Linked DNA regions of Xenopus tropicalis. The main gene of each other region encodes a partner of the protein of the gene in region 2 in a complex. Links are inferred from orthologs where the notes say so. Each region holds a gene or a part of one and is shown on either strand. Other genes may lie near its edges.

Region 1 (4,033 bases), on a different chromosome or scaffold from region 2:
GGCTGCAGGAGCAGCATGCAGCATTCCCTTCCGACAGACGTGGTGTTGGATGGCAAAAGTTACTACCTCACGTTTTTGTATCAGTCATTATATTTTGACCCACGTGATTACCAATCCACAGGTAAGCCCTTGACATAATTATTTGCTCTTTATCTCAAAGCTTAAAAAAGGCAGCAGTTGAGAAAAACTAAATGAAGGCTTAGGTAAACAGAAGGTTTCTAAGTGATCTTAGCAGGAAGTTGGGAACTGGTTCTGGAAATTTCAGAATGTTAGGTTTCAAAACATTGAGTTTTAGTAAGCAAATGACACACTGTCACTCTACATGCAGAAATCTTGAAATTAGGTAGAAGTTTTAATGACAGTTACAAAAACTAAACTTTTTTGTAGCAGCAGAGACTTTGAATGAATCATGCTGAATTTTTAAAGTTTAAATACAAGTAGTTAAAAAAAAGGTGACTAATATCAATCATCTATGGCCCTCAACACTATGCTCATGTAATGTGCAGGAACCAAGCAAACTGTGCAGTTGTTCAACACCTTGGAGGGCAGGCAAGCAGCATAATGCCTCTAAAGTACAGTATCAAGGGGTGGCTTACAAATTCTTGTCCTCTAAGATAAAACAATATTTATGAGTTTTGTAATTGAACACTACCCTACAAAAAATTAAAACAGAAATATATAATTTTCTGGATAAAGTATATCCCCTATAAATGCTAATGTTTAGGTACAGAAGTGACTGCAATCCTTTCCCCTTTTAGTTAAACAAAACACAGGCCAGAGGTACTTTCATGCCTCCTAAGAGCTGATTCAAGCTGAGCACCTGCTACATACAAAAACATCTGAAAAAGTTCTATACTTCGAATGTACTCGTCTAAGTTGGCACCTGGGCCCCCGTAATTTGTTCTGTATTGATCGGGGCTCCTATTAATTTACCTAAACGTGAGTGGTTGAAGTGGATGGTTAATATGCTGTACAGAGTCCAGAGCTGCTGGTTATTCTACATCTGACAAAATACCCGGCCAATTAGCAATCGCAATGAAGCCAAGCCGATTTTTTGAACATTCATTATTCTGGCGCAACAACAACTTTTGCAATCATTGCTTTGAAACATTCTTCTAGCCACGCCCACGTCCCCTGTTCGCTCTCTTCCGCCATATAAGGCCTTTTTCTGCTCGTCTGTTGATTAATCTTCCCTAACCAGGAAGTTTTTAGCGCTTGCGCTCGACTGCATAATGAGATCGGCAATCGATTGCTCTAGGTAGGTGACAGCGGGAGATTACGAAAACAGGAGGAAATCCGAAGTAAGGAATATCAAAGATGGCGGCTACCGTGACTCCCAATCCGTCGCAGCTTCTCCCGCTCGGTAAGGACTCTAGGAAATATGTGACTAGATCTATTCCAGTTCGAGACCTTTAGTGTGCAGTTACTAATTGGCTTTTATCTTCAATGGCGCTGTCCTATTTCATGCGACATGCTTTCTTTGAACTCATATTTGTTGTAGAATTCTGATATGTATGTGGCTTACTAGGGTTGTGAAGTACAGATGTAGTGTACCTGGAGTTAGCACTGTTGCTTGGGTTAAACAGCACCTGCTAGGTGACGTGCTTTAGGTTATCGGGCAAATGATGGAGCCGCATGGCAGCCCTGCGTTAGACAATTTATATTTTATACTGAACCTTTTAATTGTAAGCAGATAAAAAAAGAACAGAATTATTTTCTAGTTGATTTTTAGTTTACCTAGGAAAACTGTACATCATTCTTTTCTTGAGAACCTGAGCTCTAAATCTGAGTTTTTGTGTATTTCCACTTCTGGAACAAGATTTAGAGCTCTAAAGGCAAATAAAAGAAAAAAAAAAAAATATGATTATAGGGATTTATACCAGAAAAATCTTTTATTTTATGGATAAAATTTCAACTTATTCAGAAAGCCTAATATCTCTTGAATGTGCCTATACTAGGTATGTATAATTTTATGGAGATGTCTGACTTCTATAGATCGAAAACTCCCAGCAGTAAGTTATTGAAAAAAGTGTTACAGCAGAATAGGGCATACTTTAGATTCCATAGCCAAAAATCCTGAAACATTAGGTTTACCCCAGGATACCATTTATATTTTTTAAAAGTGCACATTCAACCAAATCCGAAATAGATAACCGTGTCTTTCTACTCTAAATGACTCCAAGGGGCTGATTTACTAATCCACGAACGGTCCGAAAGTGTCCGAATGCGTTTTTTTCGTAATGGTCTGTATTTTGCGATTTTTTTCGTAAATTGTCGCGACTTTTTCGTAGCCGTTACGACTGTTTCGCAAATTGTTGTGACTTTTTCGTTGCGTTACGACTTGCGCGAATTGTCACAACTTTTTCGTAGCCTTCGCGCCGAGTACGAAAGTTTCGGATTCATTCAAGCTTCAGTATCGTGACTTTTCTTGGGCCAGGTTGGAGCTGCAGAGTCCTATGGGAGGCTTCCAAAATCATGCTAAGTCTGAAAGTTTTGCCCGCAGTTTACGAGCGCTCAATACGAAAAAGTCGCGACAAGATACGAGCAAATCGTAACGGCTACGAAAAAGTCATGACAATTTGCGCAAGTCGTAACGGCTACGAAAAAGTTGCGACAATTTACGAAAAAGTCGTAACGGCGACGAAAAAATCGCAAAAAATACGAAAAAGTTGCAAAATGTTCGTTTTCCAATCGGAATTTTTCCCATTTGGATTCGTGGGTTAGTAAATCAGCCCCCAAGTGTCCGAGATGAAATAGAAATGTTCATCTCTGATACTGGCTGCTGCAATAGAAGCACCCGGTATGTGTATTATGTACCATAAGACGTCCTAACAATACGGAGCCCCTCGAAAACCGTATATTTTCCGAAAGTACATATTTTTATTAAGGCAAAAATGGCTAAATACATCTTTCTACTGCAAACTACCAAACAAAACTATGCTTTTTTTCTTTTTTTTTTTTTTTATTCCTGAAGGTTTAAATCAGTGGTTTTCAGACTTAGGTTTAGTCGCCCTCTTTCCTTTCAGTTATGCAGCTTAAGATCCAAGTACATTCAAATACATTTTTATACTAAAATGTGCTTTTAGTCTGAAGTTCAAAAAATATTTGACAGGCGATAAGTATTTACCACCACAATTTAGAAACCTTTGATTGTTCAAGTTTTACTTTCAAACCTAATTAATATATACACAATGTAAAATTATTTTTTGTATTTTAACATGTATTTTTACTTTATTTTTGCCTTATTTTAAAGTGTATTCTTAATTTTTTTTTTATTTCTGATCTTGCAGAGCTTGTGGACAAGTGCATAGGATCTCGCATTCATATTGTTATGAAGAGTGATAAAGAAATTGTTGGAACACTTCTTGGCTTTGATGATTTTGTCAGTATCCTTTGTCTGCTTACGCTTAGTTTTTTGTTTATTGCTTCAGTTATACTAATTTAGAATGTACCAAAATAAAATACCGATTTACCATCAGCAATAGACTCCATTCAGCATTCTAGATCAGCGTTTTTCAACCACTGTTTGTGCCGCGAGATGTTGCCTGGTGTGCCGTAGGCAGGGCCGCAATTTTTACTTTAAAAAAAAAATCCGGGCCCTGTCATTGGTTGCGCCCCGTGTGTACGGGTGACGTCAGTACGCACGGGGCGCAACGTTATAAAAGGGCCTGTGTGCGGTCGCGTGTAGGCAGAAGTGCAGAGGCGGCGCGCGTGAGGGGAAGATGCTGCTGAAGCCGCCGAAGAGTAAAATGCTGCTGGGCACCAATGTATTAGGGGGGGCCACGGGGCACACTGACTTATGGGGGCACTGCTGCTGGGCACCAATGTACTAGGGGGGCACTGCTGCTGGGCACCAATGTACTAGGGGGGCACTGCTGCTGGGCACCAATGTACTAGGGGGGCACTGCTGCTGGGCACCAATGTACTAGGGGGGCACTGCTGCTGGGCACCAATGTACTAGGGGGGCACTGCTGCTGGGCACCAATGTACTAGGGGGGCACTGCTGCTGGGCACCAATGTACTAGGGGGGCAC
Region 2 (4,317 bases):
GACCCCAATCGGCATCTTAAATCTGCCCAAGTATGGCCACCTTTACACAAGGTAAACATTAGAGGCGGTGGCACATGAGGAGGTTGTGTACATTTGCCCCTGCATGATTTCAGCTCAGGGGTGACTAAATGTTCTATAATGCCCAACCACTAATCACCAGTCTAGGCCCTTCCAGTGCACTCTTGGGTCAGGTGATAATCGTTAGGAAATGGCTAGTGCCCTGTTTTTGAGCATGCCCACACTGGTATATAGTAATTTTGAAAACAACCCAGAATGCTAGTAGACCAATGGCTGTGACAGTTTGACATGCAAGGCTCCTGCAAAGTTCCTAAAAGGTACCTAGTTTGCCCATGAGCAGTAACCCATATAGGGTTGCCATCTTCTGACTGGGGAATGCCTGTGTGGGAGGCAGAACGGTGATGTCATGGGGTGAGGCGGATGATGTTGGAGGTGTGGTCTATGACATTGAGGGATTTGGTGGGGTTATGACATGGCGATCGGTGCCAGGAGTTCTGTCCGATTTCCCTCATTTGGAAAATGGGGCAGGGAGTTTGACCCGGACAGACAGACGTGGCAACCCTAAACCCATAGCAACCAATAAGATATGTGCTTTACAATAGGTGACCAGTAAATTCTACCTGCTGACTGGTTCCATCAGTTGCTGCTCCTGGGAAAACTTAGTGCCTTTTATTAAATAGCCCCATCCAAGTTTAAAAAGGTGCGGACTTTAAAAGTGGGTGTGGTCACTTCAAAATCTCAACAGGAATCCGCTAGAGAAGCATGAATGGGACAGCCCTTTTGGAACTGAACAGCTGCCTCCACTGCCCAAAGGAGTTTGGCTACACAAATATTGGAATTTCAGAAGCAAATCTGTCATTTATTTAGCAAGGAAACACTAGTTCATATTTCAGTGCATTTGAAGTCCTGCCAGCTTTAGGAACACAAGTACCAGGCAATGCCATGGCAGGGATGGTATATGAATAGATTGGCCCCAACAGCACCAGTATAACCTTCATGGAAGCAGCCCCATGGCCAACACTACGTGAACAGTCTCAGTGTTTCTGCTTTTTAAAGGAAAAAGTTCCGGCCGCTGCCAGCCCTATTACCTCGCGATCTGATTCCGCCGGATATGGTGAACGAAGCCGTGATTCATATCCAGCCTCCCACCGGGCCCGGCTTTGCCCTGCACCTCCACTTCCTCCTGCATACTCCCGGCTCTAGTCTACTTCCAACACGGGCACCCTTTCAATCCCAATACCGCCCCCTAGCTACCGCTGGTAGGAACTATCCCGTCGCAGCCGATTGTAGGAGAGATAGCGATTGGCTGTTTTTGTTTCGACAAAGGCTAATGTAGCCAATCAATGCATCCCTGACATTAGCGTTCCGTGACTCGTTCCTGTTGTATAGGAAAGTGTACGGAAGCGGCGTGGGGGAGGGGCTTCAGTCCAAAGAGAGGCGAGACACGCAGGAGAGTCGGTGGAGGCAGAATGAACGCTGAGAAGCGGGTGAAACTGGAGATGGAGGAGGAAGACGACGACGATGATGATGATGAGAGAGGTGAGGGAAACTCATTCTATTGATGCGACTTGGTGTGAATAGTGTAACGGATTGATTGAGTAAAAGCGAATGAAAAAGAGTGGTGCACATGTGTTAGCGTGGGGGGATAATAAATATGTGCTTCCTCCGCTTGTGTCTGTCACTGTGTCAGAGAAGGAATTTCTCCAGGGCCCTCACCATTACTAGGGCCCCCACCATTACTAGGGCCCCCACCATTACCGGGGCCCCCACCATTACCGGGGCCCCCACCATTACCAGGGCCCCCACCATTACTAGGGCCCCCACCATTACTAGGGCCCCCACCATTACAAGGGCCCCCACCATTACTAGGGCCCCCACCATTACCGGGGCCCCCACCATTACCGGGGCCCCCACCATTACCGGGGCCCCCACCATTACCGGGGCCCCCACCATTACCGGGGCCCCCACCATTACCGGGGCCCCCACCATTACTAGGGCCCCCACCGAGAAAATATGGAATCCCCCCCAAAACAGGATCATTAAACCTGTTTTGTCAGTGCTCCGGCCATGTCTGTGCATGGTGTCCCAGCATGGTACCTCTAAAGCTGGACACAAGGATGGCTGATTGGACCATTTAGGTCATTAATTTCTGTATGAAACTAGGTTCACATTTGCTGCCACCCTCTGATCCCTACCTGTGATTTTAGCCCAAGTAATGGCAGTGTCACTCTTCCATAATGTTTTCCTGGCAATCCAAGTGTGATTTGCAGGCCAAGCAGTTTAAGTGGGTGATACAGGTGAATTGTGCATGTTTAACTTCAGAACTGTACATATAACATATATATAACACGTGCATGTAATGCTGGCAGTTGTAGGAAAGCACGGGCGGTATGACTTTGAAGACAGACGTAGTCGCCATTGCCCATATCTGGATACCATTAACAGGTCAGTCTGGTTGTTTTGCTTGGGACTGTGTTGATTATGTACTGCTCACAAATAACACTGGTTCTGTTCTTACCAGGAGTGTCTTGGACTTTGATTTTGAGAAGCTGTGTTCCATCTCTCTTTCTCACATTAATGCATATGCTTGCCTTGTATGCGGGAAATACTTCCAGGGTAAGTAAGTGGCACAGAGTGTGTTGTTCAGATGAGCCCTTATTTTGTCAAATTTTTCTCTTTTTTTTTTTTTTTTCCCCCCCCAAGGTCGAGGCTTGAAGTCCCATGCCTATATCCACAGTGTTCAGTTCAGTCACCATGTTTTCCTTAATCTGCACACACTGAAGTTCTACTGCCTGCCGGACAACTATAATATCATTGACTCCTCCCTGGAAGACATTACGGTACTTGCACATCCTCTCTTGCCCCATTTGTTTATGTGACCTTGGCATTTTCTAATATGAAGACAAAAAATCAGGATGGCCCAGTTCATATTTGCCCAAGGTGCAATCTTAGTGCCCAGTACAAGTGGTATGGCGTTCCCAGAGTTTTTAGAGTGCACTGTTGACTTATATAACACAGGTGTCGGTAAGTTAAAGACTCTTATACTCTTAGACTCTTATACTCAAGAGCAACAATCCCTTCACTAACTTGATGTGTCTATCACAACACATACGTCTCCTTTAGTGAGTTCAACCACAGCCAGCAATTAGGATGGGAAAGGTAGAATAGCATATTATCCGCAAAAGAGCCATGGATCACCTGTACTGCTCTGATCATGCAACACACAGCAGGGCATACATCAAAAAGCAGATTTTATGGTCAGTAACAGGGAAACATAAGCCCAGTGATGGCAGAAATGTCTAGCTCCACTAGCTGCCTGTTGCCTTAGCATTTTTCCCCTTCCTTTGGCTGGCCCCCATTCTTCAGTACAGTCTTTCAAAGTTCTTTTTTTTTTTTTTTTTTTTTTTTTTTTTTTTATATAAGTGTGAATCTACACATGGAAACAAGGACTGGGTTTCTCCTTGGATTGAGAACATAGATGGCCTCAGGCCATAAGAGAGAAAGGTAGCTGTTCTTACAGAAGTAAAGGGCTTTGTAAAATGTGCACATTATTTCTATACTGTCTCTGTCTGTTCAACTGTGTCACCCCCCCCCCCCCATATTAACTTTGCTTTTCATGTTTTTAGTAACTATCTCTTTGTCTTCTACAGTATGTGCTGAAGCCAACCTTCACCAAGCAGCAAATTGGTAACTTAGACAAACAGGCCAAGCTTTCTCGAGCATATGATGGTACCACTTACCTCCCAGGCATCGTGGGACTTAACAATATCAAAGCTAATGATTATGCCAATGCTGTTTTGCAGGTAGGAATTTTCACAATATACAGGGCCTGTGTAACAGTTAACCACCTCACCTTCACTGCAGCAGAGAATCATCTCTCATCTATTTCACTGGATGCCCTAACATTCATCAGTCTGAAACACTTTAAACACTTTTGCTCCCACAGACCATAGTGCAGATTTCATGGCCAATGTACACTAATTTCTTTATGGTCACTTCCAGGCTCTCTCCAATGTTCCTCCTCTGAGAAATTACTTTCTGGAGGAAGAGAATTATTGTGATATTAAGCGCCCTCCTGGGGATATCATGTTCCTGCTTGTGCAGAGATTTGGGGAATTAATGCGCAAACTGTGGAACCCCAGGAATTTTAAGGCTCATGTCTCCCCACATGAGATGCTCCAGGCTGTTGTTCTTTGCAGCAAGAAAAATTTCCAGATCACCAAGCAAGGTGAATATCTCCACCCCTCTGTCCTGTTTTTTTCTGTTTATCTGAACATTTCAGGTCTCGCTCCAGTTTTT
Region 3 (4,252 bases), on a different chromosome or scaffold from region 2:
ATCATGCATTAAGGGCTGAACCATCAGATAGGGGTAGAATTGCTATTGTTTCTACCTCTATATCCGATGATTCAGCCCTGAACGTCAATGGAGGGTATAAATAAACTCAGAACTAATTTGCAAATGCAATCTGCAGTAAATATTCTACTACCCTTAAAGCAGATGTCAGTATTACAGCACAGGTGCTAAAAATATCTGCGGTGCACTATTTAATATTTTAAAACAGTTATTGTCTTTCCTGTCAGGAAAGCTGCCATATTGCTTATTACGTTTAATTTCAATGTACTATTTTGAGTATTAGTTGATCTACAGAAAAAGTATTGTTGCTATTATATTCATAATCCCCCACCAAGCAGCCAATGGACAGTTTAGCTTCTTGCAGAATTTGCTACACAATGAATGAAAACAGAGAAGCACTGAAGCCAGTTTCTTAGAACTTAACTATGAGGATTTGTGGAAACAATTGTGCTTCAACATTTATTCCAGTCTACTCCCATTACTTAGATCAAACCCCCGATCGGGGCAAAAGAAGTACAGATACAAACCTAAATTCGCCAGTACAGAATTGCCTGAAATGAGAAATAAAGAATTATTTACAATTAGCAGATACTTTACCTAACGTAATCTGTTTGCACAACAATGCATTCCTGCATAGCACATAATGCATTAGTCTACAACAACTTCTTTTTGATATCAGAAATAGCCCCTTAGACTGATGCCACATGGGTTGATTCTGGCATCAGCTTTAAGCATCAGAAATGGGAAATTCATGAATTTACTTTATCCTCCATTTACTTTTACTTCTAAACACTAAAACTAAATCTCCTTCAGTGCAGGTGACAAATGCCCAAAGTTTCCTTACAACCAGCATTGATGTAAATTGCTGGTGAGAATATTAATGCCTGTGGGAAGGGACCTTTGGATGGTTTGAAAAAAAGAAACAAGGGGTGTAAAGTAGTGCTGTCAAATTCTTTTAGATGCAGAGGGCTGTATATTAAAGAACTTAGTTGTGATGAGAGAAACAAAACAGAAAGGAACTCTATGTGGATAATATATTATTAGTATAATTGTAAAGCTTTAAGCTATTTAAAAACTGTTTGCTAGATATAATACAGGTATAGGAACCATTATTTAGAAGTCCATTATCCAGAAAAATCAGAATTACAGGGAAAGCCATCTTCTATAAACTCCATTATAATCAAGTAAATCAAATGATATAAAGTGATTTCCCTTTTCTCTGTAATAATAAAACAGCACCTTGCACTTGATTCTAACTAAGATATAATTAATCCCTATTGAAGGCAAAACAATCCTATCAGTACTGTCTATTTTGTAGGCTCGACAGATAGCTGGCACATGGGGAGATGAGTCGCCCGCGGCAAAACTCCCTGTTCGCGGGCGACTAATCTCCCCGAGTTGCCTTCCCCTGCCATCCCATCGGCGACAATGTAAGCCGGCGGTGGGATGGCAGACGCGGCGAGGCGATTTCGGCAAATCGCCGAAAAAGACTCGCAAGTCTTTTTCAGCGATTTGCGCGAAATCGCGCCGCCGCATCTGCCATCCCGCCGGCGACTTACATGTTCGCCGGTGGGATGGCAGGGGAAGGCAACTCGGGGAGATTAGTCGCCCGCGAACAGGGAGTTTTGCCGCGGGCGACTAATCTCCCCGTGTGCCAGAGCCCTTAGTCTTACTGATCTAGTGAGACTAAAATAATGACAGCAAACATCTGATTGGTTGCTTTGGGTTATGGGCAGTTGCAAACTTTGTCAGTGTTGCTATATAACTACTCCAGAGTTTTGACAGCAAAAGTCATGCAACTTCACCTGAAGTTCTCTGCAGTTTTTGGTACAATATCTGCAAAAAGTTCCACCTTCATCCGGCCCACCTCCTGAAAAAGTAAATGGACATTAAATTAGTTTTTTTTGTGAAAAGACAATTAGCACATTGGTATTACAGTCATCATACCCTTCATGTTTTCCCAGAATATATGCCTTTCTTCACAGTTACACACAAGCAAACTAATTTGAAGTTGAATAGCATAAAATATAGCAATTACAAAACTTTAAAAGCTTACAAAATTAGGCCACCCAATGTTTTTAATATTCTGTATAACTTTAATTTAAATAAATGCAGAATAAATAGGTATAGCAACAGTTTGCTTGAAAGAACAACTTTTTCAAAGACACGGAATGGACAAATTAGCCCTCATGTTGACACATTTTCCAAAATGTCTAGTTTCCATGTTGACTTTTTTCCATACATTCTAAGGATAATATTCAGAGCTTTCCAAGATGATCTTTTTTCCCCTAATTGGTTTGATCAGCCGTCTGGTGGCTTTACAAGTTTTGTTTTGGGCTCTCTTTTGGGGTTCACGCCCAGTCTTCCTTGGGGGCAGGGTTCATGAATTGGGATGCCATGAGAATTTTAGAGTTCATATTTAGGGATTTTCTCAGGGCTTAGAGTGCATGTTTAGGACCATCAGTAAAGTTTTAGGGTTTAGAGATCGGAAAGAACAGTGGGGCCCATACACGTGGAATACAATTTAAATACATAATAATTTCTGCTATGAATATAAAAATCTGTCCTTCAGTCACAGTACACACTTAGCCTTCTTGCTAATACTACACTACACCATGCAGCCCCATTTGCTCAGCTGCAGTTTGTAGGTGGTGTTGCATGGCGAGATTCTTCTCAGTACGTAAGTATGGAATCATCATTTAATGCAGGGCTTTCTCAATGTATTATACTTAACACCGCGTGTTACCTGCCCCCCGATACTGATATCGAAGAATACGATGGGATTGTTAGCGTTGGAAGCCGGTACCGCCATTTCTATCTGGGGCAAAACCGGAAGAGAAGAGGCGGCGCTTCAATCCCAGAAGCGGCTTGCTTGTAGGCTGTATGCGCAGGCGCAGTGCATTGTTTTACACGCTTTATTCGCATGAAGTTGGTGGGCGATGCGATATGCCTGCGCTTCTAACCTTGCAGGGGATTATGGGAGAGTGGCAATAGCAGTACGTTTACGCGTGACTAAACCTGATTTACTCATTGACATATAAGCAGTACAGAGGTTTAGTTTTGGATGGAGTGGAGTTGTAGCATTCACATGTTCCGTGCAATTAAATTTATTTCTGTTGAAGCTATCCATATCTGTAAATATCCATGCTGTCTGCCTTGCTCTCACATCAAGCAGTGCTAATACAAGCGCCTCAGCGCTCCACACCGGAAACGTCTTTTTTTTTAGTTCCTATTTCAATGTGGCCTGATCACAGCCGTGATGCTGTGTGGGCGAGAGTGCGTTTATAACAGAGCTCTGCTTCTGTGTGGGTGTATGTGTGTATTTATGCAGTAGGTAGAATTATGGTTACCTGTGGCTGCTGCACATAGGGAACACACCAAATCCCCTCTGTATTCTGTGAGGAGAAGGGAGGTTTTATTGTTTGTATATCACTTCCCATAAAATCTCCCTCTCCACTGGCAGCTTTGTTGCTGTTTGGCCTTCAAAACTATTCCATAAATTCAAAGTACAGGGAAATCAGGTTTCCCAAGAAACTGATATGGGTATGAAACCTGGGCCCTAACAAATAAATTGACTGGGGAATAAAGTATATCTAAAACCTAAAAAGTTAATATAAATTTGTCAGTGTCCTCTTCTAGTCACATTTGCATTTTACATCAATTATTTTTTAAAGCTTTTAATCTGCTTATAAACAGCGCCGCCTACTGGTCAGCTCTTACAACCATACAGCTGAGTGAGTATACATTGAGAAGGAAAACAGATAACTGTTCTGATGTTAAGGTCCCCATACACAAGGCGATTTCACTCGTTGTGCGACGAACTATTATATCGACAAACGATCGTATGGCGACCGGGTTTCCATACGATATGCCATCCACAGGCAACGATAATTTGCAATTTTTACAATCGTACATCTACGTACGATCCAATGTCGTGGCGGAAGCGGTATTTATTTATTTATGTTCGTTGACTTCCGCTGCTGGCAATCATGACATGCGCAGAGAACAATCGTTCGAAGACAAATGTCTGACACTCACACCAACTGGCAGATTTTATCATTAAACGACTAAAATTTTTAAACCTGGCCGATCGATTTTGGGGACAATAATGTCGGGTCGATTAGTGGGCCGACGATCGTTCGCACACCATCAACTATACGATAACTTAACGATAGTATCGGATCGTTCGGGAATCGGTCGTTTGACAGTAAAAAATCGGGCCGTGTATGGGGGC

The links. Proteins that work in one complex are often made in the same cells at the same time.
Region 1: usp39 (region 2) and lsm5 share a complex: the UniProt entries of both Homo sapiens proteins name them as parts of the U4/U6-U5 tri-snRNP complex. The link is inferred for Xenopus tropicalis from reciprocal best matches to the Homo sapiens genes USP39 and LSM5.
Region 3: usp39 (region 2) and ppih share a complex: the UniProt entries of both Homo sapiens proteins name them as parts of the U4/U6-U5 tri-snRNP complex. The link is inferred for Xenopus tropicalis from reciprocal best matches to the Homo sapiens genes USP39 and PPIH.

The regions. Positions count from the first base shown.
Region 1 is NC_030682.2:61,893,492-61,897,524, reverse strand, and holds the start of lsm5 (U6 snRNA-associated Sm-like protein LSm5), read left to right. Parts: upstream 1-1,200; 5' UTR 1,201-1,317; coding exon 1,318-1,363; intron 1,364-3,290; coding exon 3,291-3,386; intron 3,387-4,033. UniProt on the Homo sapiens protein: Plays a role in pre-mRNA splicing as component of the U4/U6-U5 tri-snRNP complex that is involved in spliceosome assembly, and as component of the precatalytic spliceosome (spliceosome B complex).
Region 2 is NC_030679.2:125,759,242-125,763,558, forward strand, and holds the start of usp39 (U4/U6.U5 tri-snRNP-associated protein 2), read left to right. Parts: upstream 1-1,462; 5' UTR 1,463-1,487; coding exon 1,488-1,557; intron 1,558-2,387; coding exon 2,388-2,463; intron 2,464-2,539; coding exon 2,540-2,634; intron 2,635-2,721; coding exon 2,722-2,858; intron 2,859-3,668; coding exon 3,669-3,821; intron 3,822-4,020; coding exon 4,021-4,246; intron 4,247-4,317. Other genes in the region: UPF0561 protein C2orf68 homolog, read right to left, coding at 1,107-1,207.
Region 3 is NC_030683.2:94,758,839-94,763,090, forward strand, and holds the start of ppih (peptidyl-prolyl cis-trans isomerase H), read right to left. Parts: upstream 2,834-4,252; 5' UTR 2,831-2,833; coding exon 2,765-2,830; intron 1,889-2,764; coding exon 1,824-1,888; intron 570-1,823; coding exon 546-569; intron 1-545. UniProt on the Homo sapiens protein: PPIase that catalyzes the cis-trans isomerization of proline imidic peptide bonds in oligopeptides and may therefore assist protein folding. Participates in pre-mRNA splicing.